Linked DNA regions of Elephas maximus indicus. The protein of the gene in region 1 interacts with the protein of each later gene in a biochemical or structural test. Links are inferred from orthologs where the notes say so. Each region holds a gene or a part of one and is shown on either strand. Other genes may lie near its edges.

Evidence for each region.
Region 2: the proteins of PTCH1 (region 1) and SHH are reported together in a solved structure, tested with the Homo sapiens proteins (5 studies listed by BioGRID and IntAct, with this or other methods). The link is inferred for Elephas maximus indicus from reciprocal best matches to the Homo sapiens genes PTCH1 and SHH.

Annotation. Positions count from the first base shown.
Region 1 is NC_064827.1:106,915,140-106,930,317, reverse strand, and holds the start of PTCH1 (protein patched homolog 1), read left to right. Parts: upstream 1-7,414; 5' UTR 7,415-7,446; coding exon 7,447-7,650; intron 7,651-8,312; exon of another isoform or gene 8,313-8,585; intron 8,586-9,293; coding exon 9,294-9,486; intron 9,487-15,178.
Region 2 is NC_064838.1:5,078,473-5,093,644, forward strand, and holds the start of SHH (sonic hedgehog protein), read left to right. Parts: upstream 1-8,025; 5' UTR 8,026-8,314; coding exon 8,315-8,623; intron 8,624-14,343; coding exon 14,344-14,605; intron 14,606-15,172.

The DNA.
Region 1 (15,178 bases):
GGGTGGTGGAGATGTATCCGGTGACTTTTGCACCCACGGATTCGGGCATTCTCATGCCTACCACCCATTGAAGAGGTGAGTGGTTGACCCAGTGCTCAGGGGGCTGTGAGTGCGACCTCAGCAGAGCCCAAGTGTTTTAAATCCTAGAGACAAGGTTCCAAGTCCCCCAGGATGCCCCACAGACTGAACCTCTGGGTGATATAGGCCATGTCTCCACGCTTTTAAATTCATGTGAAAAATGACACCTAGTGTGTGGATAAGCAATAAATTCAAAGTGTTTTCATCTTAACTTCTTCCCATCACCAAAGAAGAACCGTATGGATTGTTGTCTGTAAAAGACACCGGAGACCTCTGTCTTCCTCCCTTTTCATCCTTCCTTCCTCCCTGGGGAGGAGAAATAGAAAAGAACTAGACACAAATAATAAAGACCCACAATGGTGGCTCTAAATATATAATTGGGTAACCGAGGTCTTACCGCTACAATAGTCCTTTTTTCATCATTCTGTGTGTGCTCGGAAAAAAAATTATTATTATTATTATTGTTTTGGCTCCAGTAGTTCAACATGCAATTAATTGCCTCCACAAAGAAAGACAATGCTTTTTGGTGTCATCCATTGTTACTGTAACTTATTGTTTCTGGGTGGCACCGCAGGATAAATTGCTTGCCTCAGGTGCATTGTGTACTCATGTTGTAAAACAAGGGGCTTTCAGCTGTGAGTTTGTGGGTGTTCCAATTGTCACCCAGCTTCCTTCCACAACAGGGCTGTAAAAGCCTTTGAGTCTATGGTCTTTTTAAATTAAAATGTTGGATCAAGGTGGATACCAATAGGCCTGTCCTCTAATATGCCCATTCTCAATTTGGGGTATTAGCTTCATTTCAAACTCACAGTGAGAGATGTATCTAATTTCTGGTTATAATCTAGTCATAATCTGACAAGCTATTGAACAGGAGTTAGCATCAAATGGAATTATTTTATGAAAAGAAAAAAGGCTGTTTTACAAATTGTCCTCAACTTTCTACAGATAGAAAAACTGGTGAGGGATATCAGTATGGATTAAAATATCTGTCTTTCCAGTTTTTATCCTTCTCTCTCTCTCTCTCACACACACACACCTTTTATTTTCTCCCGCCTCTGCCACAGTGTATAAAGCCCTATTGAGACATGTAGGCGTGATGTGTAAACCGGATTAGCAGTATGAAAGAAAGACACACAATAAGCTGGAATTGTTTTACTTCCCTTTCATTTCTTATGCCTATATCTCTAATAAATTTGTTGCTCCAGCAGTGGGTCAAAGGGATCATGTTACTCAGCTTCTTTTTCATGCAAGACCCAATGGCAGAGATCACTGAAATGAATGATATGCCTTCTGCCAAATGCAAAGCTTGATAGGGATCTATTAGACGGGGAGATAGAGAAAAGGCGAGAAAGAGATGGAGGAAAAAAATCTTCAGAGTCTGAGTCTTTACAGAACACATTTCTATCCATTAGAGTTAAGTAGTGTGGCTAAGCAGATATTTAGATAAAGGGGAAAAATCAATCCAAGGGCCAATGCTATGTTTTCTTTCCAGTTCCTTGTAGGCTGTGAATATTCCCTCTGCCCTGCAGGAGAGTACCCATAGCTTTTGGGACTGTATAAAGTCTAATTCCTCTTTCAAGCTAGTGTTTGAACCCAGAGTAATAAATGTGGAGATGTCTGGGACCTTCTCAGGACATCCCCCCACCCCCACCCCAAGCTCACTGTAAACTCCAAAAATGCCAGTGCTCTCATTTACTCCTTTGTGGAGTTGGGAGCAGCTTCCCATTAAAGGAGATCAGGAATAATTAGCAGCATTATTTTGACAAGTTGGCTTGAGCTGTTCCCTTTACTCCAGTCCTGGGGAGGGGGGCTAAGGGGAGGAGACAGAGGAGGAATGGAGAAGGGGAGGGGAGTCAAGCCCAGTGGTTTTATATTGTGGCTGCTGAATCTGTTTTTTCCTCCCCCCTGAAACCTGTAAGACTCATTTTCTACTATCACCTTTTAGGTAAATACAAAAGCTGCCAGTGAGAAAATAATAAGGCATTCTTAGGGCGCCAAGAAAGTGTGGTGGATGGTGGCATACTGGCTTGAGTTAAGACTCGACTCTTACCCAAGGTATCTGTTTTGAACTGCTCAGGCCCTGGCCCATCACTCACATCCTGTACCCTACCCTGGACTCCCCATTCATAAATAGAATATTACATCAATTCCCCAGTTCTTCTCTGCATCCACCCTCTCAACAGGAATTCTGTGAGACTCGATGTAATGTTTGCAATGGTTTGCATTTCTGGAAGAGAGTATTAAACTCAGTAGACACAATTATAACATGGCCCAAGGGTCAAATTACTAGAATACATTTACCTCTTTATGCATTTACACACTGCAAAAATTAGCTAAATTACATTGGATCTTAAAGACTCATTTAGTCTGGTCTGCAAAGCCAGTGAAAAGTGAAATCTCCCTGTGATTTTTCCAAACCTCACCAAGTCTGGATCCCACAAGCGCTTATCATTGGAACATCCAAACACAAAGGGCAGATGTTTTATTTCAATGTCATCTTATCATCTGGATAATCAGATGTCATTTTAGAGATGTGTGTAGTGTGGCCATGGGTATTTGAAGTATTGGAACAAAGAAGGGAAGCCAGAGAATTGAAGGAATCTATTTTGAAAATGACAGGCTGCAATGAAGACTTGGATCATGGCAGAAAGAGAAGGAAAAAAAAAAAAAAAAAGACGATCCATACAACTTTAATAGGAAAGGGGAAATGGGAAAAATCAGTTGTGTCATAGAGACTAGCAACTCCTGATGGCTGATCGGGCCTCAAGCTCTCACTTATTTGGTAACTTATAAGAAGAGCTAAACCCAGAAAAGCCATTAAAGAGAACTTTCTTCCCAGCAGACACCTTAGCAGGCCTGGCTTCTCCGAAGAGCCCCATATCAGGTCTATGGAATCCTTGTGGTTCGTTGAAGTTGACAAGCCCGGTGTGGTGCAGCGGTCCCCTGCACAGGGCATGCATATTAAAGCCAACAATGCTTACAAATGTAAATAAGGGCAGATTGATTAGGGGCAACATTATCGCTGGGAATGTCACACTCGCATGCATCAGCAATGAGGCAAATTGGGGGCAGCCTCAGCTCTGGCCACCCAAGTCGAGCAGGCTTTTACACTATCTCCTCTTCCCTTTCTTAAAACGTTACAGAAACAAGGCCAATTAGATCCTCAAAGTAATTCATCTCTGTGTATGAAAAAAGCAGACCACAGGGGAAGCGGCGGTGGGGGCTGGGGAGATTAAGATAGCGCTTGTTAGAGCCAAGGCTTGGAATTGAGCTCTGGAACCAATGGGTAGAATTTACAGGCCCGGACCATTGTCTGAGATGCTGAAAAGTTAGCCTAACCAACAGCAGGCAAGGGGGCGAGGGGCACTGAAAACCTTGAGGATCAATCTTCAGAACGTTTAGGAATTAAGTCAAACTGAGGGAAATGAGCCCGAGTGGAAGACGCTTTACCACTAAAATGGTGCTACAGGAGAGTTTTTTTTTTTTTTACAGGGCAGCTGCCAGTGTAGATGAATACATAGCCATTATTGGTACATAGCCTGTAATTTCATTCTCGAACTCCATAATCCGAGTAGCTATACTGAAATTCTAACATATAAAAGATTGGGAGGAAAAACTTGTATTTTGGTCTAAAATGTTGTAAAGAAATTTGAAAAGAGAAATATAGCAACGTGTCTATGACTATATGGTTACCTTAGCCATACAGCTAGCCTCAAATATAAAAAGGCTGACATTTAAAATTAGGGGTGTCATCCCCCAAGTCTCTAAAAAGCTATCTCCAACAGCAAGCAGGAAATGGCCTGACTGGAGATGTTTGCAGAGTCTTTCAATTAAGAAAAGCTAGAATCAGAAGTCACCCTTCCTGCTTTATGCTATTATCAAACGTAATAAGGATCAGGATTTGCTGAAAGAATAAACTGGCTATGCGTCGAGCCCAGTCTTACTGTGATGCTATTTACTAATGTAGTGTAATTGTAATTGCACGGTGATTGTCTTCCCTTCTGGGTTTTTGCAGCCCTTCCCAGAGCCGGCGCATCAAATCACGTGCTCCTTTCGAATTAGGAGTTTTGAATCTCCGCGCTGGCCCGGTACTCGGGTCCTCCTCCTGATCCCGTAAACACCCCCAGACACTTCTATTCTCTTTGTCTCTCCTTATTCTCCAGGACACCCTACCACTCCCGGGGTACTACATACATGTTGCTGGTTTGGGATTCAGGGGGCAGGGCCTCCCAACTGAAACCAGGAAGGAGTAAACGCTCTAGGGAAGGTGGCGAGGCTAGGAAAGGAGGAGAAAGATGGGGGAGGTAGAGAAAGGGGCCAGAGAGGAAGGATGAAGGGAAAGGGGAAAGGGAAGGAAGCGGGGAGGAGGGAACCGCAGGCTGGGGGAGGAGAGGAAGAAAGGGGGCGGGGAGGGTTGGCGGGCGAGCCCCCAGCAAGAACTGCCCCGATGGCCCGAGCGTCCGCCGCAGCACGGCGCTGGCCTGCACCACCGACGCGGGGTGGTGAATGGGAAGGGACCCGTGCGCGCAGACATTGGTCAGCTGCGGAGAGGCCGCGCGGACATTGGGCAACGTAAGGGGGCCGGACCGCCTTCAGGAATGTACTACGGCGCGTCCGGCACGTCCGTCCGCGCCGGCGATGAGTACGCCTGGCCTAGGACCCGGGGGGAGCCGACTAGTGGCACGGAGCCGGCGGGTGCGCTCTGCCTTCCAACCTCTCTTCCTACCTGCTTGGCCTGGCCGCGCGGACGTGGGTAACCCAGGAGCCCGGGCGCGCGCGTACCCGGACGCACCCGGACACGCGCGCGCGCGCGCACAGGCCTCCTGGCCGCGGATCGCGCCTAGCCCGGCCCAGGATCACGTGGCCGCGGAGACTCCGCCTTCGCCCCGCTCCTCCCCCTTTCCCTCCATCTGGGTTTCTTTTTTTCCTTTCTTCTTTTTTTTTCAATGAACACACACCGTGTGCATCTTAAAGCTACATCGCCCCATGTCATGGCCTCAGTCGGCTCTTCGCTGCCGCGGGTCCTTTTGCAGTTCAACCCCGCTTTAGAAAAAATATAAATATTAAAAAAAATGAGGCAGAATCGAGGGTTTGTGAGTCTGGTCTCTACTGCAGGGAGGAACTTAACTTGCAAACGTAAGAAAAGCAAATTCCACTCTCCACAGTTTTTTTTAACCAAAAAGCACAGCTGTATAGACAGTATAATTTGTCTCGGGCCCCAGGATCCACCCCAAAGGGTCCCGGGTTTTCTTCCCCAAGGGGAAGCGAATCCTCGGGATGTCTTGGCAACCCTGGCCGCAGTGTTGGGACAAGTCCTTAGGATCAGCACAGTTTGTTTCGAAAGAATCCAACATCAAAGTATTCCTCCCTACGTCACGCTGCTATTAAATATAACAGGATGCGTACCGGTTTTTGTAAAAAAAAAAAAAAAAAGTTAAAACTGACTTTAAATAAATAAGGATATGTGGTTAATAAAAAAGGGAGACGTTCAAAGGAAAAAAAAAATAAGCTGGAAAACTTTTTCTCAAGGAACAAGTCTGTTACTCCGGGCTGTTAAAAGGATTATGTCGTTTCTCTTTTACTTGTGTCACATCTAAGATTCAAATAAAAACGCCTCTGCCTTCACGAGTCTGCTTCGGTGTCTGGATTCTGCGTTTATAGAAAGAACACTGACTCCTTCATACTGGTTGTGCGGTCGTTTTTTTGGGGGGGGGGAGAAGGTTGGGGGGGCGAACTTTAAAAAGGGGTGGCTTTTCCCGACGCCCTTGCTTTCCTCTTTAACTTTCCATTTTGTTTATCTTAATGCGAGGCGTTGTTCCCTGCGAGAGCCTAACTCTTCCCTTTAGTTAGAAAAGAAAAGAGAGGAGAAAAAAAAAAAAATCTGGCACACACTGGCGCACTATCCACCACCCTGTCATTATTGGTGCAGGCCTGGGAATTCAAGCCGGACCTCCCAGTATTTGCTGCAGCTTGAGGCCAAGGTGCCTCTGAAAGGGTTTTCTTTGAGGAATTTCAGAAATTGTTTAAGCGCTTAAAAAAAAAAATTACATTTTTTACGTGTCTATCGAGAAGTAAACGCTCGTGTGTGTGCGTGTGTGTGGGTCTGTGCGCGCAAAAGGCGTCTCACAAAAAGAAGACACTGTTAAAAAGGAAAGGAATAAGAAAGAAAGGGGGGGGGAGCATTCCTTAATGGAAGTATTGCATGCGAGAGGGTTGGCGCTCTTGGAGGCTCCCCCCGAAGCCGGGGATGCACACACTGGGGTTGCCTACCTGGGTGGTCTCTCTACTTTGGTGAGCTGTTGCTAAGCAGCTAATAATAGTCATGTTTGCTGAGTAATTTCTGCCCTCCGCGAGCCAATCGCGTCGCAGAAACCCAAGCCATCTGACAGCCCCGGGGGCGGGAGCTCCAGCCTTTTTCTCTTTCGCTCGCTCTCTCCCCCTCCACCCCCTCCCCTCCTCCTCCTCTTTCTCCAAATGGAGAGAGTTCTTTTTTTTCTTCTTCCATCTCATCTATTGAATCAAGGAGCTGCTGCGGCCGCTGCCCGCTGCACACACACAGAGCGGAGTCCCCAGGTCCCGGGAGCGAGAGCGGCGCGCTGCACGGGGGCAGAATGGTCCAGCGGGTCGGTGAGGAGTACAAGAAAGCAGAGTCCGGGACCAAGCAGCCACCGCGAACCCAGCAGCCAGAGCCCCAGCAGCAGCTTCAGGAGCCGCCACCGCCAGCAGCAGCCCCAGCGACCGCCGGAGCAGCAGCAGAGGCGGCGGCGGCGACGGCGGCTGTCCCGGCCAGGCAGCGCTGAGTCCCGCCGGGCACCCTCGGACCCCGCAGCGGCGGCTCTGCGCTTGCCCTGTGCTGCAACTCGGGCGACCGGGGAGACGCCGAGGGAGCCAGAGCGGCCGGCAGGAGCGGCGGGGATTTGCTCGCGCTTTCTGCAGTGAAGGGGTCGGAGCGCGGGGCGGGGGGCGGGTAGGGGGACTTGAGGGTCGCGAGGAACCGCCGAGGGAGCGCCGAAGGGACAGGCTCGCCCCGCGCGCCGGCTCTCGCCCTCCCGGGAACTGGATGTGGGCAGCGGCGGCCGCAGAGACCTCGGGACCCCCGCGCAATGTGGCAATGGAAGGCGCAGGGTCTGACTCCCCGGCAGCGGCAGCAGCGGCAGCAGCGCCCGCCGTGTGAGCAGCAGCAGCAGCAGCAACAGATCTGTCAGCCAGAGCCCGAGCCCGAGCCGGAGCAGCCCGCGGCCAGCAGCGTCCTCGCGAGCCGAGCGCCCGGGCGCTCCGAGAGTCCGCAGCGGCGGCAGCAGCGCGCCGGGCCGCCGGGGAAGCCTCGGTCCCCGCGGCAGCGGCGGCGGCGGCGGCGGCGGCGGCAACATGGCTTCGGCTGGTAACGCCGCGGAGCCCCAGGACCGCGGCGGCGGCAGCGGCTGCAGCGGGGCCGTGGGGCGGCCGGCTGGCGGTGGCGGCGGGAGGCGCAGACGGACCGCAGGGTTGCGCCGCCCCGCGGCGCCGGACCTGGACTATCTGCACCGGCCCAGCTACTGCGACGCCGCCTTCGCTCTGGAGCAGATTTCCAAGGTGCATTTCAGACTCTCTCCTCGCCTCTCCTCCCACACTCTTCCCTCCTCTTCCTCTTTGGGATAGCCCCGCCACACACACACACACACACACACACCCCTCCAGGAAAAGTAGACAAGTGGGGATTGAAAAATTCAAACCCTCCCTCCGGTCCTGGGAGGAAAGGGCTGTCTGAGGTCCGCAGGGGGTGGAGGTGTGTGTGTGTGTCTGTGTGTGTGTGTGTGTGTGTGTGTGTGTGTGTGTGTGTGCACGCGCCCTCCCTGGCTTTCCTTTCTGGAGCCCTAGAAAGCGGTCCCCAGTGGACCACCTCGAGGGCGTCCACGACACTGCCCTGCCCCCGTACCCCCTGCCACGGAGCCCCCTCCTCCTGCACTCTTTGCCCCTATTTGCAGCTTAAACCCGGATAATGCTGCCACATTTCTTAACATCTTGGAGGGGGAGGCGGAGTGGAGGGAGGCGGAGAGAGGAGGGGGGGAGGGAACCGAAATAAAGGTGGTTTCCTTTTTTGGCAGCCAGTTTTGCTTTTGTTGAGCCTGAAATTTCTGCTCCCTTAAAAATTATCTTCGGGCGAGGGCATACCCTCATTTCTTTTACGGTTTTGAACCGCCTATCCTCAGAGCCTGGGGGAAAAGGGAAAGTTGTAAACAAATTGCCACCTTAAATCCGTGGTGCGGCCGGGTTCATTGTGTTTACGAGGCTCGCTGAAATGTGTGGAATCCGGGGAAGGCGAACACCCAGACGGGGGCCCGCTAGGGCCGCGGCCAGCGCCGGGTAAACGCCGCCGCCAGGAGCAACCAGCGCCCAGCCGGGACCCCCGCCTGCACCGGCCTGGGCCCTTCCCCGACGCATTCGGGTGTTTTTTACGTTTAACCAGAAGGGAAGGGAGAGGAGGGAAAGATCTATGTGGCTGCCCTCTTCCGATCACAAATATTGTCGTAAGTTGCAGATGGCTGCCCCCGCTTCCTAATTCAGCTCACACAGCGTCCCCCAACGCTCTGGAAATACATCGCGAGTGAGCTTCCGCGACCGCGCTCACCACGTGGATCCCCATTTACTACCACGCCGGGCGGGGTCCGGATAGGGAAACCCACAATACATTGTTCCCAAAGCGCGCTCGCCCCCTAGCACCGGTCCCCGCCAGGGCACCCTCAGGTGAAGGATATAGCAGGATTTACGGCGAAGGGGAATTTGGTTTGCTCTTTCTTAAATGTTGGGCTCTACCCGCAGAGATTACGCACCCCATCCCTTACCAAGTCCCTGGCAAATATTGCCAGTGTTGAGTGATTTCTCTCCTCTTACCTCGTCTTTGCCCTTGTCCTTGCAGCCCCTCCCCCAGCGCCTCAAGCCACTCAGGGGTGCTGCGCTGGACGTGCGTGGGGCGGCCCGCCTGTTGCCGCGATGCACTCCCACGGTGCAGGCCGACTTTGATTTATGATCAGCCCCCGCCCCCCGCCCCACGCCGCTTGCGGACCGGATGGGTTCCAGCCCCGAGGGAGAGTCCCCGACCTGCAGCCACCCAGAACCGGGCTGCAGCACCCTGGGGCTGACGGGGGCTCCTCCGGCGGGAGCCCGCGAGCGGGTGGGTGTGGGTGCGTGTGCCGCGCCTCCCCTGCACTCACTCCTTCCTTCTGCTTCGTCCCCAGGGTAAGGCTACTGGCCGGAAAGCGCCGCTGTGGCTGAGAGCGAAGTTTCAGAGACTCTTATTTAAACTGGGTTGTTACATTCAAAAAAACTGCGGCAAGTTTTTGGTTGTGGGCCTCCTCATATTTGGGGCCTTTGCTGTAGGATTAAAGGCAGCTAATCTCGAGACCAACGTGGAGGAGCTGTGGGTGGAAGGTAAGAGACCCAGCGCTGGCTGCTGCGCCCTGTTTTCCTCCACTCCCCCACCCCCACCCCGTTCCCCTTCCCCTGCTTTCAATTGATAAAGATATTTACCCGAATACACCTAGAGCCTTTCAGTAAGGAGAGAAACCCCCCTGCCCACACCAGGGGGAATTGTTTATTGTTTGGGCTCCTGGCAGGGAGCCAGGCCCGCCCGACAAAGCCCGCGCTGTAATCTACTCGGGGCGCTGCGCTTTGCTAGGTGTTGTGGGAGAGAGTGGCGAGGGCGGGCTGGCGGGGGCGCGGGGCCCCTCCGCGGGACGGACCACTCGGCGCGCCCGGGGGGCCTGCAGCCGCCCAGGCTCGGCTCTGCAGCGCCCCGAGACGCGGCTAGAGGAAGGACTCTCCGGCCTTGGCTCCCCTCCTCGGCTTCCTTCCCTCCCCTACCCCCACCCACCGCGTCTAAAGAGAAAGGAGTTGCGGGGAGGAGGGAAGGCCACCCCTCCGGCAGGAGGGAGTGTGCGCGCCCCCGGCGGCCGCGGCCGCCGCGCGGGGGAGGGCGGAGGGGCGGGCGGAGCGCGGGCCTGCGGAGGCGGCCGCGTGTGTGGTCCTGTTTTTGGACAGCTTTCAACTCTGGGGGAAAAAAACATTTGTCTCAAGATACAAAAAAAAAGGGGGGGGGGGAGAAGGAGTTGGAAAAAAATAGTAAAGCACAGACTGGAACGCATGTTTGCAAAGTGGATTAATGCTTCCTTGAGGGTGGGGGTTTTTTAATGGAATTATTCTGGGGGAAGTCTGCGTTTTACGGGCAGAAAGAAGAAATGTGTTTTAAGGATGCGTGTTTGGAGGGAGGGGCCACGGGAGTTGTCCAAGGGGTTCTGCCAGTCTTTTATCCACATTCCATAATTTGGGGTTTTTTGAGCCCCCGCTTTTATAAACAGTTGTAAACTTAGATTTTTTTTTGTCCTGAAGATGGAAACATTTTACATTTCTTTAGTAATACAGCTTTTTTTTTTTTTTTTTTTTAAGTTGGCTGTTTCTTAATTATCTTTTTGGAAAGTAACTAGTCTTGCTTGGAAACATTTTAACCCCTAAATACTGCTTCAGTCATCTCTTAAGAGGGTGGGAGGACAGGATTGGGGTAATTATGTAGCTATTTCTAACCAAAATATCTGGGACATGGCTAGTGAAAGCTACCTAAGAGAATTGGGAAGCTGAAGAACTATACGCATAATTGCTAAAGTTACTTATTTCAAGGTGCAATTGGGGCCTAACCTTGGAGAATGTTTTGTTAATCTTGGTTTGTTTATAAAGCTTCATTGCAGTGTTCTGCGAACCAATGACAGAGTCTTTAATTGAGAAGGGACAATTAAAATAGTAGCCCAAATAATTAAGACCAGAAAACATTCCTGCCTTAAGTAGCCTGATAATAAATACAAGAGTGTTCTTTGAATTGAATTCGTGGGATAATTTACCTCAGTTCAGCCTGTCAATGTCATTGGTAGATTTAAAAAAAAGAGTTTTATTGAGCACTTAATAGTATCACTGGAAACCCTGGTGGTGTAGTGGTTAAGTGCCATGGCTGCTAACCAAGAAGTTGGTAGTTTGAATCCACCAGGCGCTCCTTGGAAACTCTATGGGGCAGTTCTACTCTGTCCTATAGGGTTGATATGAGTCCGAAACGACCTGACCTCAGTGGCTTTGGTTTTGGTTTTTTATAGTATCACTTAGGTCCCTGGGTGGTGCAAGCAGTTTGTGATTGGCTGCTAACCTAAAGCTTGGCAATTCCAACCCACCCAGCAGCTCATGAGAAGAAAGGCTTGGCAGACTGCTTCCCTAAAGATTATACCCAAGGCAAAAACTCTGTGGAGCACTTTGACTCTGTTAACACATGAGTCAAAATCAACAGCAACTTTTTTTTTTTTTTTTTTTAATGCCCTTAGCAACAAGTTTGCTGAGCACTTGTGATGCCCCTAGCACTATGTTAGTAGGCCCTGTAAGGGACTCTGAAGTGTGTGAGACACTCCCAGCCCAGGGGTGAGGGGCAGGAGCGGCTAGTGGAAGAGAGTGTGGATAATTCATGCCCTTAAAACTACTAGAGTTGAATGGATTTGCACTAAATTTGAATTCACTGTTGAAATGGGCTGTTACAGTGAAATGAGAAAGAAAAAAAATAGTTTAAAAAAATTCCTGGAGGTGGTAAGGCAAATTGGGGAGACCTGGGGAGAAAGAAGAGGAAGGCACTTGTTCTAGGCAGGGGCACCAGCAGGGACTCTGTTTTCAGAGCAGGCCGGCAGCCTGAGGCCCCACGTGGAGTGGGAATAGGGCTAGGAGCTCAGGTGGGGCCTGGACAGCAGGGCTGTCGTCTGGACACAGTGTGATTGGCTAGATGTCTAAAGCTCCCATGGGCTTTAGAACAGAGCAGGGTATGAGCAGAGGGAGCTTCCTGGTTGGCCATATGTGCGCTTTCCGCCACTTGGGCCAACTGGTCCTTGTCAGGTGTAGATGCTGATGAGAAAAGATGGTTTTGTTGTTCTGAGCAAGAATTTTCGGTAGACTTTCTTTTAAACAGAGGTAATGTGATTTATTTTCATAACCTTGCATATTTTAGAAACAACTGTTTCTGCATTACACAACTCATTTTGCTCCTGGGAGGAAGAGAAACATGCTACACTGTCTTGTGGTGCTCCAGCTGGCTTAGTGAGAGTGAGTTTGGGGGGGTGGGGGGGGGCAGCAGAATTTTTCTTCAGTGAGACAGGATGTGGAACACACCTGAGACAGAGCCGCACTCTGCCTACTGTGGCCTCTGAGCTGGCATTTTCTCATTTCTTCGTTGGCACTTTCCTTGTGGTGCACTGGTTCTTGGATCGAATATGATTTAATGAATATTAACAGTACCACTTGTTGAGCAAGTGCCACGTCCTTGGCATTTATTATACATTATCACTTACCAGTCAGTGAAGTAGCTATTGTTATCTTTATTTTTTTTCTAACACAGTAGTTTGTATAACGTTTTTTATATGCACTAATAATAGCTCTGGTGGCACAGTGGTTAAGAGCTTGGCTGCTAACAAAAAGATCAGCGGTTTGAATCTACCAGCAACTCCTTGGAAACCCTATGGGGTCACTATGAGTTGGAATCAACTCGATGACAATGGGTTTGGGTTTTTTTGTTTGTTTGAATATTTAAAATGTCCCGTTTTATAAATGAGAAGCTATGGCTTATCTATTTCTCTGTCCTTGTCCACTTTGCCTATTAATTAATGACTTAAGTCACTTGGCCCCCTTTTCCCTTGACCTCGATTTAGCTATCATTCATTCATTCAATGCTAGATTCTTCTATAGAAGCAACACTTTCATAAATCCAAGTAAACCTCACCAAGGAGGCCATCATACTATTTTATAATTTAAACATGATTTTGAAATGGAATTAGCTATGCAGAGGCCTTGTTTCTGATAGCGAACATTGTGTCAACAGTAAGAAGTGTGAGTACTTATTTTCAGGAGCAAGAATTCCCTGCTGTTGTAGAGATTACAGTAGAGGTCAATGGATTAAAATGAAGCAGCAGCTCCAAATGTAGGTAATTTTGTGCTTCAATCCCTTAGATAATGTCCTCGTCACTGTCAGCAAAGAAGTCTGTTAGACGGTGTTTTCTTAAATACTATGAACATTTTGGGCATGAACAAGGGTGCTTACTATACAAATAAAGCAAATGAATAAGGATTGCATATTTCCCTAGTTAAAAAGCAACCGGAGATAGAAAGAGTAAGTTTAAGGGGAGAGAGATGCTGAGGGGCAGTTTGGGAAAATGCTAGTTCTCCTGTGATTAAAAAAAATGACATTAAAATACCCAGTTGCCATTGTGCATATGTGTACACATAGGCTTACTGTACATATGCTCCTAGCAGCCAAAATGGTGTTATCTTTTGAATACAGTCAGCAAATAAAAGGGATTCACTTATTGGACTATATCTTGGACTTCCCCACTTTGCTTAACATCCTGGGGAATGGGACTTTATATAAAGACCTTTGAATACATTAGCCACAGTGTGCAGACCAAACGAGCTACATAAGAAAGACTCTCTGAACATATTTTTTATGTAACTGGTGATAAGAATTCTTTGATTCTGTTGTTAAAATATTTATATGATTATTGCCTTTTAAGGAGTTGTCAGTACACGATGGGTGCCAGCTGGGGTTTTAGGGTGATAATATTTGCAAGTGGAAAATGCCAAATGGAGCTGATTTGTGAATGGAGTCATTGAGGCTTGGTAAGAGAATATGGGGAATGATGTAGTGTATCAGGACATCTGCTACTAATTAAATACATGGTGGTGGCAGCAAGGTGGGGGAGAGACTGATTTTCATTTCAGAAGAAAACATTCCTTGGTCACCTATTCTGAGTGCCAGAGTTCCAGAGAGTTGTTGGTGAAAAGCCGCAATCCCTACCCTCAAGGAACCCCCATCCAGAGGCATACACAGACCAGCTAGAATGCAGTGCAGCAGTGCAAAGATGGCAGGGAAGCCTTCCAGGATGTCCTGGAAGGAGGAAGCACAGAGACTGGAGAGGTGGGTGGGGCTGCATTCCAGGTAGAAGGAACAGCATGGGCAGAGGCTCAGAGAACAGGGGCGTGGCCTCCGGAAGCCTTGCCGTGGGTTCCTTTGGTTGGGTCACCAGGTTTGCCACTGCCCTTCCTTGGGAGACAGATGTGGCAGTCTGCATCTGTAAAGATCACAGCCTTGGAAACCCTGTGGGACAGTTCTACTCTGTCATATAGGGTTTCTATGAGTTGGAATCAACTCAGTGGCAGTGAGTTTTAGTTGGTGGCCTCCCTGGTACCTCAGGTGCTTTCATCTGAGTCTCGTTCTGCTGGGCAGAGAAGAGAAATGCTTTATTTTTAACCTTGCCCATTTCTCTGCTGGCATTTCCTTTTTGTTCAGCACTTTTATTCTCCTATCTCCCTTAATACCTATTTCCCTTCATACTTACCCCACTCCAACCTTTTCTCAGACACAAGTTTGTTGTCCAGATTCTCCCGTGACAGAATGTTCATTTATTTATCTCTTTGAGCTTTTTGGTTTTTTCTAAAAGCTGGCCCAGCCCCTGCCCTCCTTTTCTGAAAAAAGGCAACAGCCCTGAAATGAACCCATCTCGCCTTTGTGTTTGGTCATTAACGTCTCACAAGGCCAGCATCAAGGGAGGAGGACAGAAGTTGATTTTTTAAAAAAGAGAAATAGAAGTGTGTTTATTTTTTAAATGCATTCTTGGTGTCTCTAAGTTCTCTCAAGCTTGTACCTTGCTGATACTACGACTTCAGTGGTCCTGGTTTGAACCCAGGCATTCCTAGGAGATAATTGAGTTTCGCCATCCTTTTCGTTTAGAGCAGCGTGTCCTCAACTTTAGCACACTTGCTGTTTGGGGCTGGATAATTCCTTGTTTTGTGTGGGGGGGGGGGAAGCTGTTCTAGGCATCGTAGGATGTTTAGCAGCATTCCTAGCCTCTACCCACTAGATGCCACTAACACCCTGCCCCAGGGTCTCTCTGGAACTCTCTGGCACTGAGAATAAAACACCTCTCCTGCCCTGCCCCAGGTTGTAACAACCAAAAATATCCCTAGACATTGGCAAATGGTGGGCAGGGGTAGGGGTGAGGTCAAGGGGTAGGATGGGAGTGGGGCGCAATCACCTCAAATGGGAAATCGGGAA
Region 2 (15,172 bases), on another chromosome or scaffold:
AACCAAAATGTTGGAGGCTCAAGTCACTCAGAGGTGCCTCAGGGGAAAGGCCTGGCAATCTCCTTCCAAAAAGTCAGCCATTGGAAGTCCTGTGGAGCACATTCCTACTCCGACACATGCCAGGTGGCCACGACTGGACGGTGGAGCACATTCCTGCTCCGACACATGCCAGGTGGCCACGACTCGACGGTGGGGCACATTCCTGCTCCGACACATGCCAGGTGGCCATGACTCGACGGTGGAGCACATTCCTACTCCGACACATGCCAGGTGGCCATGACTCGACGGCACCTGGTTTTTAGTTTGGTTTTTTGCAACCAACGTGTGAAGAATTCAGATGGACACAGTATCTGGTGGGTAAGAAAAGGAATGGTGTTTGGGGTTTTTTCTAATGTTCACAGCAGGGGAGGCAGGGGAGAAAGCCTAATTCCCATTGTTCCCCACTGTAAAAAGAGACCATTGGATGAGCCCTTCATTCTTCTGAGATTAATTATAGAATTTAAGGGCTGAAAGGACTTTTGGTATCATTGACTTCAAATTCTCATTTTATAAATAAGGAAATAAAAGTTTTGAGCGGTTATGTGACTCACCCAAGAGCACGTAGCTACCTGAGAGAGAGCTGGGCCTATGGTTCTCCTTAGTCAGTAGATTTTACACTCCCCCGCTTTGCCAAAGTACCATGGAAGGGAACATCCTCAGGTAATCACTGACCCTACACAGAAGCTCAAGTCTTTCTAGAAAACCCAGCCCCAAAGGAACTTGAGAACCTGTGTTCTACCTAATTATCTTACTCATCTAGTGTTGGTATAACAGAAATACCACAAGTGGGTGGCTTTAACAAAGAGAAGTTAATACTCTGACTGTCCAGTAGGCAAGAAGTTCGAATTCAGGGTGCTGGCTCCAGGGGAAGTCTTTCTCTCTCTGTCGGCTCTGGAGGAAGGTCCTTGTCATCAGTCTTCCCTTGGTCTGGGAGCATCTCAAGTCCAAAGAACGCGCTCTGCATCTTGGTCTGGGTGCACCTCAGGTTCAAAGCACGTGCTCTGCTCCCCACCCTGCTTTCTTGGTGGTGTGAAGTCCCCACTCTGCTCACTTCCCTTCCCTTTTATCTCTTGTTTTTTTTTTTTTTTTAACATAAAAGGTGGTGCAGGCCACACCCCAGGGAAACTCCCTTTACAGTGGATCAGGGATGCGACCTTAGTAAGGGTGTTACAATCCCACCCTAATCCTCTTTAACATAAAATTACAATCACAAAATGGAGGGCAACCACACAACACTAGGAATCACGGCCCAGCCAAATTGATACACACATTTCTGAGGGACATAACTCAGTCCTTGGCAGTGATGGAGATTCAAGGCAATGATGGGTGAGCTGCAACAGGCAAATTCACGACAGGGTCTGGGACCAGAGGGATGGTGTGGACATGGAAAAGGATATCTCCAGCTACACGCGAGGGAAGACTGGATCTAGATTACTCTGATTCTTTCAGGCAAACGTATGGCACAGACTGCCAACCTGCACCTGATTAACCTAGTTAATTTTGCTCCTGTAAAGAAATAGCCTTTATTTTTCTGCATGTCAGCATTGCATCCTCTTTTTTTTTTTAAAAAAAAAGGAAATGTTTGAATGGAAGTTGCCCAGATAATGTAAGCATTCTGCTGGCTGCCAAGAAGGGTCTAGGCACCCCTCTTGAGGACTGGCAGAATGAGCCACAGAAACCAAGCTCACCCTGCAGAGGACAAAAGCAGGAAGCAGAGCAAAAATCAGCCTCCTAAGTCTTCACTTCCCAGAGAGGGCTCATTGCAAGACATGGAAAGCCGGGTATACCCTTCTCCCTAGTCCCAGAACAGCCTCCGGCCAGAGGCGAGCATCTGCAGAGACATCTCCGCATCTTACCCTGATGGCAGGCCACTTCCTGCTCCACAATCCGGCTCCGTAAGAAGCCATTCTTGTGGCGTCCCCAGTGCCCCGGCTGTGTGCCTGCACTTCTCCAGGGCTACTCCAACCCTTCAGGCACTAGGTCACACATGCACACACACACCCGCATGTCCTCCCCGACCAATACCTGCTCTCAAGGAAGAATCTGAAACTCTCACACACCTGTCAGCCCTCCCTGTGGGGAGGGCTGTGGGCGTCTCTGTGCATGTATGGCCAGGGGGCAGAGGGCTCCAGAGGCCAAAGGGCATTCCAGTAGGACCAGTGAGTGTTCTGAGGATGGGACTCCACCCGGAGAGCTGGGATCTAGTCATGGCCACTATCATGCCCAACCCTTCCACCCATGAGCTGTTGGGGTTCCTCCCATCAGGGAAGGCAACAAAGCGGAAATTCTGATTTCAGCCTTCAGGAGGGAGACCTAGGCACTGTTTGTTCTTTTGTTTGTTGATTTGTTCAGTCAGTCGGTCGGTCGGTCGGTCGGTTCGTTGGTCGTTGGTTGGTTGGTTCGTTGGTTTTTGAGCTTCTCAGGTGAGTCTAATGCACAACCAGGGTTTAGAACTATTGGTTTAATGTACGAACTTTCCCGCACCTGTATCTTAACAAGATTCAAAGATTTAAAGAATAATGGTCTTCTGGTAGACTTTCATGGCAGCCTGTAGTATAGGGAAAGCATACAAGATTTAGGATTGAAGAACTAGGTTTGGGCTCCAATTCCACCACTGACTTATTGTTGTTCTTAACTGCTGTGGAGTCAGCCCCCAACTCATGGCGACCCACACACGATAGAACAAAACACTGCCTAGTTCTGCGCCATCCCCATGATTGGTTGCAGATCAGACCATTACGATCCACAGGGCTTTCACTGGCTGATTTTCAAAAGTAGATTACCAGGTTTTTCTTCCTAGTCCATCTTAGTCTAGAAGCGCCCACTGAAACCTGTTAGCATCATAGCAACACACAGTCCCACAACTGACAGACTGGTGGTGGCGGCTGTACATGAGGTACATTGAATAGGAGTTGAACCCAGATCTTTGGCATGAAAAGCAAGAATTCTACCACTTCCCCCTGTGACTTACTTATGTGAATTCTCCATCTGCAAACTGGGTATAAGACTACCTACCCACACTGCTTCCCTTGCAGCTCATAAATGTAGCTGTGAGGTTCCTATGACAGAATGGATACAAAATCACTTTGAAACTGTAAGAAGCTATACATACCTCAGACATTATCTAGGAATAAGAACACCCATTACTTAAAATGAAGACTGAGTGATTCAGCAAAGTAGAGCAATGGTTTGAAGACAGTGAATCAGCACAAATTCACAAAGCAACATATCTCAGGCTGAATGTCCACATTACATGTATTTCTTGCCTGAGCATATCTACTTTTACAAAATACAGCTTTTGTTCCACTAGCTGGCTGTGAGTCTACAAATGTCACCAAAAATTGCAATTCACTTTCCTCTTCTGTAATCCAGATATTAATACTCGCTCTGAGGAGCCCCGGTGGCACAGACAGTGAAGCACTCAGCTGCTAACCCAAAGGTTGGCAGTTCAAACCCACCCAGCAGCTCTGCAGGAGAGACTTGGTGATCTGCTTCCGTAAAAATTACAGCCAAGCAAACCCTATGGGGCAGTTCTACCCTGTCACATGGGGTCACTATGAGTCAGAATCGACTCAACAGCACCCAACAACAGCAATACCTGCTCCATTTGTCTACCATGTGTGGAGCAAATGAGACCCTGAGTGTGAAAGTTCTCAGGAACAGGCTGTTGCTACTGCCTGCCAGGAGGCTCCATGCCATGTGGAACAGAAGCGGGCTGAAAGTCCCACTCCAGAAAGTGCACGTCGCCTCCTCAGTGTCTCCAGCCCTGGTGCATAATGGGCGCTCAACAAGTGTTTGGTGAACAGAACTGGCGAGAGCAATGCTTGCATCCATAGGGACCTCAGGATACCATCTGCACTCCCTCCTTCAGAGAAAGCGCCTCAGGAAGGCCCAGGTGGAGTGGGGCTTTGCCCAGGCTCCTGCCTCTCCTAGCAGTGCCCTCTCCTCCTCCGCACCACACTGCAGAGTAACGGTCCACAGCCAGCATCAAGCCCACACATGAAATGCCGCAGAGCGCAGCTCCTCACCCAGCCAGCAGCCAAGCTATCTTGTCTAAAGTCTTGGCTGCTGCTTCCCCAGCTGCTCCTGCTGCCATGGCCGCAGGCCTGACCTCCGCTGCAGTGAGACTGAGGACTCAGTGGTGGCAGACGAGTGGGTGGAGGACACCCAGCAGCTGCACCCGGCCCTTGCCTACTTCTAGGCTACAGTCACTGAATAGTGGCTGCCGTCCCTGGTCCTTCTGGGCCACAGAGAGCCTGGTGCTGTCCAGGACCTGGGGACTCAAGCCCTAAACCCAGAGAACATGCTCCCCCTCTCCTCCCTCCTCTCCCGGCAGGCTGAATTGGGGGATTAGGATAACAGTGCCAAAAAGCAGCATTCCTCCAAAATGCAGAGACAATCCCAGGCTGGTGATTACAAGGAGATTGTCATCACCAACAGAAATTCAATTTGACAAAATTGGAAAGAAATTGAAACTGGGTGACTGGCTGGAAAGATATTGAGTACAATCATAAGGAAAATAAATCAGAAAGGGGAGGGGAGGAGGGAAACTGGGAATGTCAGATTTGAGCCAGACCCCAGAGACTGGAAGTCCATGGAGAACTGGGAGCAACGTCACAGGGGCTTGGTTGAGGACAGGGGCTTAGTGAATACAGAAGTGGGGGGGGGGGGGTCTGCACTAAACCTGGAACCAGGTTCAAAGGAGGATGGAGAAACCGGCTAGCCCGCTTCCCGGGGCCTCCCAACCTGGTTCTGCCCGAGATTCCCAAACACACCCAAACCAGAACCCGGCACTCCAGAACTGAAGGCAGAGTGAGGAGGCCATCTAGCGGCTGGGGTCGAAATGGAGGGAAAGGTGCGGTTCCGAGGAAGGGCGCCTCCTGGGGGGCCGGAGCCTGAGACAGAGGCAGCCACCTGTCCTCACCGGCACGGCCGGGTGCAGGGCGAGGTGGACGGTAGAAGGACGGAGAGTGGGCCGGGCGGATGTGGAGGACCACCAGAAGGAGACGAGCTCGGATCAGTCAGAGATGGGTCTGCGGGAGACCCGGGACGCCTGGCCGCGACAGGCACGGGCAGACGGCTGGGGTTTGGAACCGCTGCCCGGCAGAAGGAGGGGCCGAACTGTCTGGAGGGGGAAAGGCAAAGAGAGGGAGCCATCTGGTGTCTGGAGGTGGAAGACGAGCGAGTGTCTGGTGTCTGGGAAATGGGAAGTGGGCGAGATGAAAGGAAAGGGGAAGTGGGAGGGGGAGGGAGGCGCGGAGACCGCCGCGGCCCCGGGAAGCTCGGCCGGGCGCCCAGTAATGCAGACCCTGAGTGCCTAAGACAATGCACACGGACTGCGCGTGATTTTTGTCCCTATTCCCCCTCCCCGGGCAACCCGCCGCCGGGAGCAAGCCCTCCGGAAGAAGGCGTCAGTGGCGGATTTTACAGCGATTTGTCCATCACTCTTTGAATCGGGAGGATCCAAACGAGCCCCTGAGACGGCGGCCGCTGACAGGCTCTCCGGGGTCTCCAGGGCCGGATGGAGATGGCGAGGAGGGAGGTGGCCTCGGCGCCGGCCCTCCCGGGGAGCCTCCGCCGGAGCCCGAGCGCAGTGCGCGCCGCGTCCCCTTCCTGGTCTCTGCGAAGAGGGAGGGACCGCGCCGCCGGAGTCACGCTCGGCTCTTTCCTGATCCGGGAGAGCCCGGCCGGGCCCCCAGGTCACACCGCCCACCGCGCCCCGCAGCCTGGACTCTCCAGCTCGGCTTTGGCTTTCATAACCCAAGTCCCACACCCGGCACGCTGGGGGCGTTAGACTTTTCCACGTGCGTTTACTGCCTGCACCGGACGCGCACCTCCCCAGCGTGTCTGCGCCGCAGGAGCCCTGCTGGCTGCTGGGTACACGCGCGGCCCGCAGCCCCAGAGTCTCTGGCCTCAACCCCCAGCTTCGCCGCCCGGGCGCTCCCGCCCTGTGCGGGCACCTAGGTCTTTAGGGGAGAGCGCGAAGAGCGAAAAAGAGAAGGGAAAGGAAAGGCACTGGGGCCGAAGGAGGTGCCAAGGCGGGGGAGGGTGATGAAAAGGTTTGCAAGTATCCCACACTGTCGGGATCGCTTCTTAAACCGCGGCACTATTTAGTGATATTACATCAACACGTGCTACCCGAGGTAACCACATCAAACAAGCCTACCTTCTTTGGTATACAGCGTTATATCTTTTTTTGTATCAGTTTTTTCCTGGGAGCACACAATATACAGAGAGAGGCGCGCACACACACACACACACACACACACACACACACACCCTGGACAATAAATTAAGCCCCGGGTTTATCAACAGAGTTGAATTGTCTCCGGCTAATTGGAGAACTCTTCGTTCCTGCCTGAGTCTTTCTGGATAGAACTGGGTGCTGCCTTCCCACCTTGCCCAGAGGTCAGCGCTCTTCTTAGGCTCGGTATTTTGGTTCTTCAAAAATCACAGAATAGAAAAGAGAGAGAGATGCGAGGGGGGAGGGGGGAGGGACTTGTCAACCTTTGTAGAGGAGCACGAATGGGTGGAGTGCAGCTAGATGTCGCTTAAGATGACCCCCTCAAAAAAAAAAAAAAAGATTTGGGCATAGGAACATTGATGGACTGCTAGCAACTTCCCATTGTTTTGCTGGGTGAACCTTCAGACCGTTCTCACACCACTGCGTGGTTTGGGGTCAAGGCAGAATACTGAACTGCAGAGGCCAACACTCACAGTATCTGATTATTTGTCAGGGTCAGTATTTCTAGTCCACATGAATAACACTCCCTTGCCCCACTCCAGAGGTATTCTTGCTTATGCGTGGAATGGGGGGAGGTTGAGATGGGGGTATGTTCTGCAAAAAGAGGGAGTGTCAGGTTTTATTTTTCTAGTTTAGTTAGAAAGTTGTGGGTGTGTGAGTGTGTGTTTTCTGGAAGGACTGCAGGGATTGGGGGTCTCATATTGCTGTTCTCTGGACACTAGGACACCCCTATTTGACCAGAGCCGGAGCTGCTCCAGCCACCTGCACCCCTCCAGGCTGCAGAGCCCATGATGTGGCCAGCTCCATTTAGCGCCAGCACCAGACGCCATAGCAAGGAGCCTTAACTTTACACTTCACTCATCCCTTGGCCCTGCACTTTGCTCCTATTGATCTGTGGGGGTGGTGTTTGCAAAGCCTTGCCCACTCACTGCTGCCCTCCAGGCACAATGAGCCTCCGCCCACAGCACACACAAGCACAGGCTCCCTTCCCAGAGCTGGGGGTGTCCAGCACCTGAGACCCACTTTGCCCCTGGACCTTGACAGTCCATCAGCTCACTCTGTACCTACCCTTAACACACCTCCATCCTATCTTCAGAGGTTTCAGAAACCATGCATTGATACAAACAATAAAGTGGCAGTATTTTAAAGTTTTTCTAAGGCATGTGAAGCACTTCAACTCACATTACTAAGTTGTGGTCACTCATAATTATCCTTCTTCCAAAGATGCTGAGCATTCAGGCAGAGGAGGCTCAGATGGGAGACCTGGCCTGAATGCTAAAATCCCTAACAATTTTAAATAAGACCTGGCAAGCTTTGCCCCTGAAACATTTGAGGAGATATTTGTTTGATGATCAAAGCTTTGGGGGGTCTGTGCTGTCCTTTAAAAACTTAAGTTGGTTTTAACTGAAGCACCTACCATTCCCAAGAAAGTAAAGGGGGAAACACGGATACACACAAAGCAGGGTATAATTGATGTTATCCTGAGAAATGTGCCTCGCCCTCCCTCCCACCTTTGTTTTAGTAAAGATTTTTTTTTTTTTTACTCGAAGCCTTCAGGTGAAAATAAAGCAGCAGCAGCAACAGAAAAAAAAATTGTAGCCTTTTTGAGGGTTAAACATCAGAAGACAAGCTTGTGTTGCCTTGGCCAATCAGATACGCCCCTGCCAGCTATAATATAGTACTAAAGGCAGCCTCTCTCACAAGCGTCTCTAGGCTTGCTACCATTTAAAATCAGACTCTTTTTGTCTTTTGATTGCTGTCTCGCGACCCATCTCCGATGTGTTCCGTTATCAGAGACCGGCAGCCTGCCATTCCAGCACCTGTCTGGCTGGGGATCGGTGGAGAGTCCCACGCAGCGGCGGCGGGCAAGGTTATATAGGAAGAGAAAGAGAGCGAGGGAGAGAGCAAGGCAGCAAGCGAGCCGGAGCGAGAAAGGGAGAGCGCAAGAGAGAGCGAACACGCACACGCGCGCACACACACACGCTCACACACACAGACACACACGGGAGAGCTTGGAAGTAATTGGGCTCCATGGACGAGATGCTGCTTCTGGCGAGATGTCTGGTGGTGGTCCTGGTCTCCACGCTCTTGATGTGCTCAGGGCTGGCGTGCGGACCCGGCAGGGGATTTGGGAAGAGGAGACACCCCAAAAAGCTGACCCCTTTAGCCTACAAACAGTTTATCCCCAATGTGGCCGAGAAGACCCTAGGGGCCAGTGGAAGATACGAAGGGAAGATCTCGAGAAACTCCGAGCGATTTAAGGAACTCACCCCCAATTACAACCCTGACATCATATTTAAGGATGAAGAAAACACCGGAGCGGACCGGCTGATGACTCAGGTAGAAACCCAGCTCTGGGGCGTGGAATGTGTTCCTTTAAAGCGAGCTACGTGGAACGAAGCCGTTCTAGACTTGGTTTCTTTGCTTTTTAAGCAGATTTAAAGGCGATTTCACTCTGTCCTTCCCCACCCTCCTACCTACCTGCCACCCCTTCCTCTTCCTGGAGGAATGGAGGTTATGGGTCCAGAAGTTTAGGGTATGGGCGGGGGTGAGAATGGCTGGGTATGTGATCCCATTTATGGCCCTGATTTCATCTCTGTCTTACTAGGATGGCTCTCCCCACCCTGGCTGTGCTCTGGCTTGTAACTTGGAGAGACCTTCACTTTCCGGGCGTCTGCCTTTTCCAAGTCTGTGGCTTTACTGGAGAGTCAGGAGTGGAGATGCAGAGGGGGGGTGGGAATCCCCCCCATAAACATAAAGTGGCCTCAGGTCACTGCTACAAATGTAGGCTCGAAGCGTTAGATCTCCAAGCTCATACTTTCCCCCTCTCTTCTGTGTTTTTTCTTCCCATGACTACCCCCACCCGACCACCCCCCACCAAAGAATCTTCCATTGGAAAAGCCAGGAAGGCGGTTCTGACAAAAGGCAGTGGCTTCGGAGGCGGCTCTAGCTGTCCATGACTGTGTCACATAGCTTGCCTTGCGATTCCATCGAGTGTGATTGTGCCCATCGGAGTGTGAATATATTGATATTTCTTTAAGGATGCTCTTTCATTCTCCTAAGCCCGAGGTACCTTAGGGGAGGGACTTGGAACTTACTGGCATTGCATCACTTCAGTTTTCAATCAGCTTGCATAGAAATTACGAGGGAATAAATATTAATGGGAAAGGGGTGGAAAGGAAAACCAAAGCAAAATATTAATCCTTTCCCCTCGCCCATCTCCTTTGAGACATCTGGGCTAAAAAGCTACCTGCCAATTCCAGACTTTCTGAAACTCCATGCATATGTAACTGAAGCTAGAAATGGGTTTCCTCGCAAATATAGGTCAGCATCATTTTTATTGCCCTATTAAAATATTCAAATCCTACCTTTAGGGCTAGAAGCGCACAGGCTGACGGAGCGGCGCTGGCGGGGCGCAAGTGTGGCGGGAGGGGGGGGAGGAGAGGCGGGGGGAGGCAGAGAGGAGCTACCTCGTAGCTCTTCTGCTTCCAACCCCATTCCTGGGCTTGTTGCGGGTGCGGAGAAAGGGAAGGGCCAGCTGGGGAACCAGCTCTAGCTGCCCGGTGGGGGCGAAGTGGGAGTGGAGGAGAGGATTCTCTTTCCTCGGTCTCCCTCATCTGCTCCCGACCACCTTAAATCGGGCCCAAGAGTGTGGCCGCGCGCTTGTGCCCCACAGAAGCCACGATTAACTCTGCGTGGCCCCAAGGGGGCCGGGGGCGTGCGGCCGGCTGGAGGAAGTTCTCTGGCTCTCCGGGCCTCGCCGCCCCCTGGTCCCCTTCGCCCCCCGCGAGGAGCCTTCCCGGGGGTCTTTCCGCACTCAGGGGAGGGGAGAAGAGAGAAGCGGCGGGGCGGAGACACCGGAGGGTCCCGAGTCGGGCCGGTCAGCATCTGCCTTTGTGGGTGCAAGGGACCCCCACCGAGTCCCGCGCCCCCTGCTCCGAGCTCTGGGTCCTCAGCGCCCTTCTGGGAAGCTGTAGGCCCAAGAAGCCGAGCCCCAAGTCAGACGCATTTTCAGCTCCACTTACTCCTCGGTTATCGATCTCAGAGGCTAGGGTTTCAGTTTGTGCGGCGGAGCTGGGCTCGGGCCGTCGCCGCCGCCGCCGCCGCGCAGTCCCTGCCCTGCACGCGCACACGCAGGAATCAGCTCCAGAACCGCGAGCGTGGGGCTCATCCTAATGGGGCGCTAATCACCCTCATTAACCCGGCGGCGGCGGCGGGGGTGGGGCGCGTGCGGGGAGGAGGCAGGGGTGTGGTGACGGCGCGGCCGGGCCTCCCGGGTCTCCGAGCCCCCTGGGCGCCGCAAGGAGCCCTCCATCCCGCTCCGCGCCTCCCGCCCGCCCTGCCCGGGAACACGGGGCCGCGCCCGCCCCACGCCGCGCCTCTCGCGCCGCCGCATTCGCTAGCAGCATTTGAACTTCTGACCTTCTGTCAACTTCCCTCAGACGAACGAAACGAAAACAAATACTTTTTTTTCCTTCAGCAGTGGCCATTCCCGTTCCTAACACAAAAGGAGGGGGGAAGGGTGGCCAAAGTGGGGGTGGGGTGGGGTGGGGTGGGGTGGGGTGGGGTGGGGGGGAGAGCCAGGCCAGGGTTACAGCACTGACCCCCCCCAGGTACCCTAAAAACGTGGATGGTTGGGGGTGGCGGCTGGAATGTGCCCCCTGGTTGTCCCTCCTCTGGCATTTCCCTCTTCTGCAGATTCTAGGAGTTAAAGGGGGGCGGGGACAGGAATGGGGTGAGAGAGGCAGACGTCTTGGGTCTTGTAAGGGCAGGGAACGTGTGGGCTTCAGAGGCAGGAAAGTGCCTCTCAGGCCGCGCGAAGGTCTGGAGCTTCTCGGGGAACTTGCTTGCCTGCTGGGCTCCTCACTTTTACAGAAACGCCTGGACTCTGCTCTCAGGTGTGCGTCTTGAGGGTCTCCTCCTCCGTCTAGTCTCTCTCCTTGTCTCTGGGTGTGTCTCTAGGTCTCTCTAGGTGACCGTTGCCCAAGTCCCTCAACCATGGCGAGATCTTCCCCAGTGGAACTTTCAGAGCAGTTCTGGAACGCATGAGCTCCTGGTTAATATTAACCCGAGAGAGGGGAACGCAGACAGACCACTCTCCCAGCGCAGGCCCCGGGTGCCGGCTCGCGGGGCGCGGGTGGGAAGGGGCGCTGCGAGGGGTAGGAGGCCCACCGGGGGCGGGTCTGGAGGCTGAAGTCGGGGGCTTAGCCTGAAAGGACGCGTTACTTGCATTTCCTGCCTGCTCTGCAGCCGCCGGGCAAGGCAAAGGAGCCAATGTGTGAGCTTGGGGGGGGTTTCCTTTTTCATGGATGGGGGTTCTCTGTGCGCTGGAGGGGTACAGAGAGGCGGTGTTGCCGAGCTGGATGTCTTTTTGAGGTGGAGGCCCCTCCCACGCCTAGGCACCGGGGGAAGCCCGCCCGGCTGCTCGTAGCGACTGATACTGCCGAGCGCCTCCTCGGCGCGCTCGTTTGTGTAGAGATTAGGGAGTGTGGCGGGGAGCTGAGGCGTGTGGAACAACTTTGCCTCTGCGGACACAAAGCCCGCGCCGAGGCGGCCCCGCTGGGCTTCACGGTGACTGCACAGAATCGGGCTGATTCGCGGCACATGACCCAGTGAATGAACAACCGGTCCTGGCTGCACGGCCTTTGCCTCCGACAAGCTAGCGGGCTGGAGCCAGGAGCGTCCTGCAGCCGCCAGCCGAGGCCCGCCCGGCCCTGGGGCCGGCCAGAATTCTGCCGGGATGTCAGCTGCCGACGAGGGAGCTGGGCTCCGGGACACATTCAGGCCGGCCCCTCGGCCTCGGACGGTCCCCAGCGCCGCCACCTCCACTCACCGGGCCTGGCTCGGCCAGGGGCTCCTCGCGTGGGTTCCTCCACGTCTTTTCCAAGTGGCGCATCTCAAGGGGCCTGGGAGGTGGGATTGAAGCCTCCCCGCCCCACCGTCTCCCTGCCCAGTTACCGGGTGGAACGCCGTTTAAGGCGTCATCTCCCCCCAAAGAAGGGAGCAGAAGGGAGGCTCGGGGTGTTTGTGTGCATGTCAGTGTGTGTGCGCCTGCGCGCACCCCGGCTTCATATCCAGGCTCTAAAACTGACCCTGGTCTGATTGATTTTCATGTAAAATGCGTTCAGTCCTCAAGATGACCTCACTCAAATTCTCCCCTTCTGCCTTTTTTTTTTTTTTTTTTAAGAACTAAAAGAACCAGCAGGCCCCAAATCCTGCAAGCGTTGACCTCTTACTAGGACGGCCCCAACCCTCTACCCCCTACCCATTTGTTATATGTTTAACTCTACAACCATGTTACTGCTTGCTTTTTTATTGCTGCCAAGTACACAGAACTTTTCCTGTTGAACAATCTGTGACATACCCTTTAAAAGTGGACAGCAGTCCTTTTAACAAATCCCCCCTCCCTTAGCAAAAGAGTTCCGATACACTGCTACTATTAGGGTCCTTAACAGAGGCTATTTTTCCATCAGGGAAACCAAGAGGTGTCTTAAGGAATCATCTTTTCTGTTCTTGAGGAGATGTGGGAGGTCAGTCCTACACTTTACAGAAGTCAACTTGAATGTCTCTCTCCAGCCTCTGCTTCTGTCTACCTGGCATAGGGGTGCCTCATTATTGTTTTAAACCCCCCTTTTTAGAATCCCCTACCAGCAGCCAGCAGCAGTCAACTCCAGTGAGTTTAGTACTACACACACACACACAATTTAACTAGACTTAGCACATCCTTATTTGATTCTAATCCATAAACCAGAGGATTATGGGGAAAAATACCACAACCCCAAGTCCCATTTTACCTTAGTTTTTATCAAACCTAGTCAATGTTTCTTTACTCCTGCATGTGACTTCCTTTCCTCTGTGTGTGTGTGTGTGTGTGTGTGTGTATAGGGTGGGGGAGGGCAGAAAGGCTGTTTTGAGGAAGACTCCCCCAGGTAAGGGGCTGGTGAGGCTTCAGGCCTTTCTGTGCCCTGGTCTTTCTTTCTGGTGGGGATGTTTTCCTAGCCTGCTCCCCATCCCCCACCCTCTCACACACAAAGTCCCTGGCTCGGTCCACACACTCACACACCCACCCCCTCCCTTCGCCTCTTAAGTTTGCTCTTCAAACTTGCAGGACACCATTCTACACTGGGGCCAAGAAGACAAGAGGGGAGGAAGGGAACAGGTTAAAGAAAACAAGAAACACAATCAGACCACAGAAAACCCAGGCAGAAAAGAGTTCTACAGAGAAAAAAGAATGTGGTTGTCCAGATAAAGAATGTTTGTCATCCAGGCCCTGGCCCGTATTGAAAATTATAACTCACCTGGCTGCTTTTCACTCTGGCCTTCTCCCACCCCTCCAGCTTTGCTATCAGCTTCCCACCTCCCTATCTTACCTTTGGCTTAGTTTTCACCTCAGATAGTCATGGGGGCAGAAGGGACCAGAGGGTCCAGAGATAACACCAGGCTTTTCATTCCTTAAGAAGTGTACAGTGTATTTTCCTTTATTCCGGCAACGTTGCACCACCCTAGGCCTCTCTCTGGCCTCCTTGTGAACTTCTGACTGAGGGTCCCGGTGAGGGCTTTAGCCCAGCAGCAAGGTGGAGCTTGCACAGGTGTGGAGAAATGTGTGCAGAGAAAGGGGGCTGGCAAAGCGGAAGGCACCTGGGGGAGTGGGGGCACGCCTGAAGGCACCTGGGGGGCTCCTGGGGCCATTGTCAAAATAGTTTTCTTTTTTCCAAAGAAACTTCATCTGCTTCTCAGGCCACAGGATGAGTATTAGCTATTTCTGGATCTGGAGACAGGCCCTCAGCCCATTCCCAAGAGAACCTGCTCCTCCAGGCAGCTCCCGCCCCACCTCCTCCGCCCCGTGCCTTCATTCCGAGCCGGCTGGGCCCCATTCCCGGGCCTGTCTCCCACTTCTCTGCACACCCCTTGCCTGGCCTAGGCGACTGGCAGCTTTGCTACAGGCGGGGCAGGGGTTCCCCAACGGCTAGGGAGGGCGGAGGGCAAGACCCAGGACCCCAGCTCAGGCGGCTGACGCTAACGCATCCCTGCCCGGATCTTCGCTCCCCTTCTCTCCACAGAGGTGTAAGGACAAACTGAACGCCTTAGCCATCTCGGTCATGAACCAGTGGCCAGGAGTGAAGCTGCGCGTGACCGAGGGCTGGGACGAGGACGGCCATCACTCGGAGGAGTCGCTGCACTACGAGGGCCGCGCGGTGGACATCACCACGTCGGACCGCGACCGCAGCAAGTACGGCATGCTGGCCCGCCTGGCCGTAGAGGCCGGCTTCGACTGGGTCTACTACGAGTCCAAGGCGCACATCCACTGCTCGGTGAAAGCAGGTAGAGCGGCGGCGGAAGTCGCCTTTCTGCATATTCCCCCTCCCCCTACCGACCACGCCCCCCCCCCCCGCGTCTGGCCCTCAGGACTGTCAGCTGTGGGCCCCCCGACGGCAGAGATCCCAGGGAAAAAGGCTAATAGTGGTGTATATATGTGGGAGGGGGGAGGCCTCAGGGACAGGGAGGCAGAGGAATTGGGGTGATGCCTAGAGTGTTGCTGTTGTGAGATCATACCCCTGAGGGGCCCCCCTAAGCCAAGAATTGCCCCCCATCTTTGGGGATTACTCGGAGGCCAAGATTCTCGACGCCCCGATGCAGAGGGGATTTGGCTTTCTTAGCCCCACCCCACCGGTTTCCGGAGCCCTCCCTGCAGATGGCGGAGACTGGGAAGAAAGAGTGGCTTGGAGGGGGAGGAAAGGGAGACTAGGACGTGGCTGGGAGAGAGCCCAGCTCTGCAGCCTTGCCGGTTTCCTGAGGTCTGGCCTAGATCCTTCCTCTCTTTTTAGGGTTTAAGACCCAACACCTCCCAATCATTCAAGTGTCTGTCCAGGGCCTAAGCCCCGCGTCCTC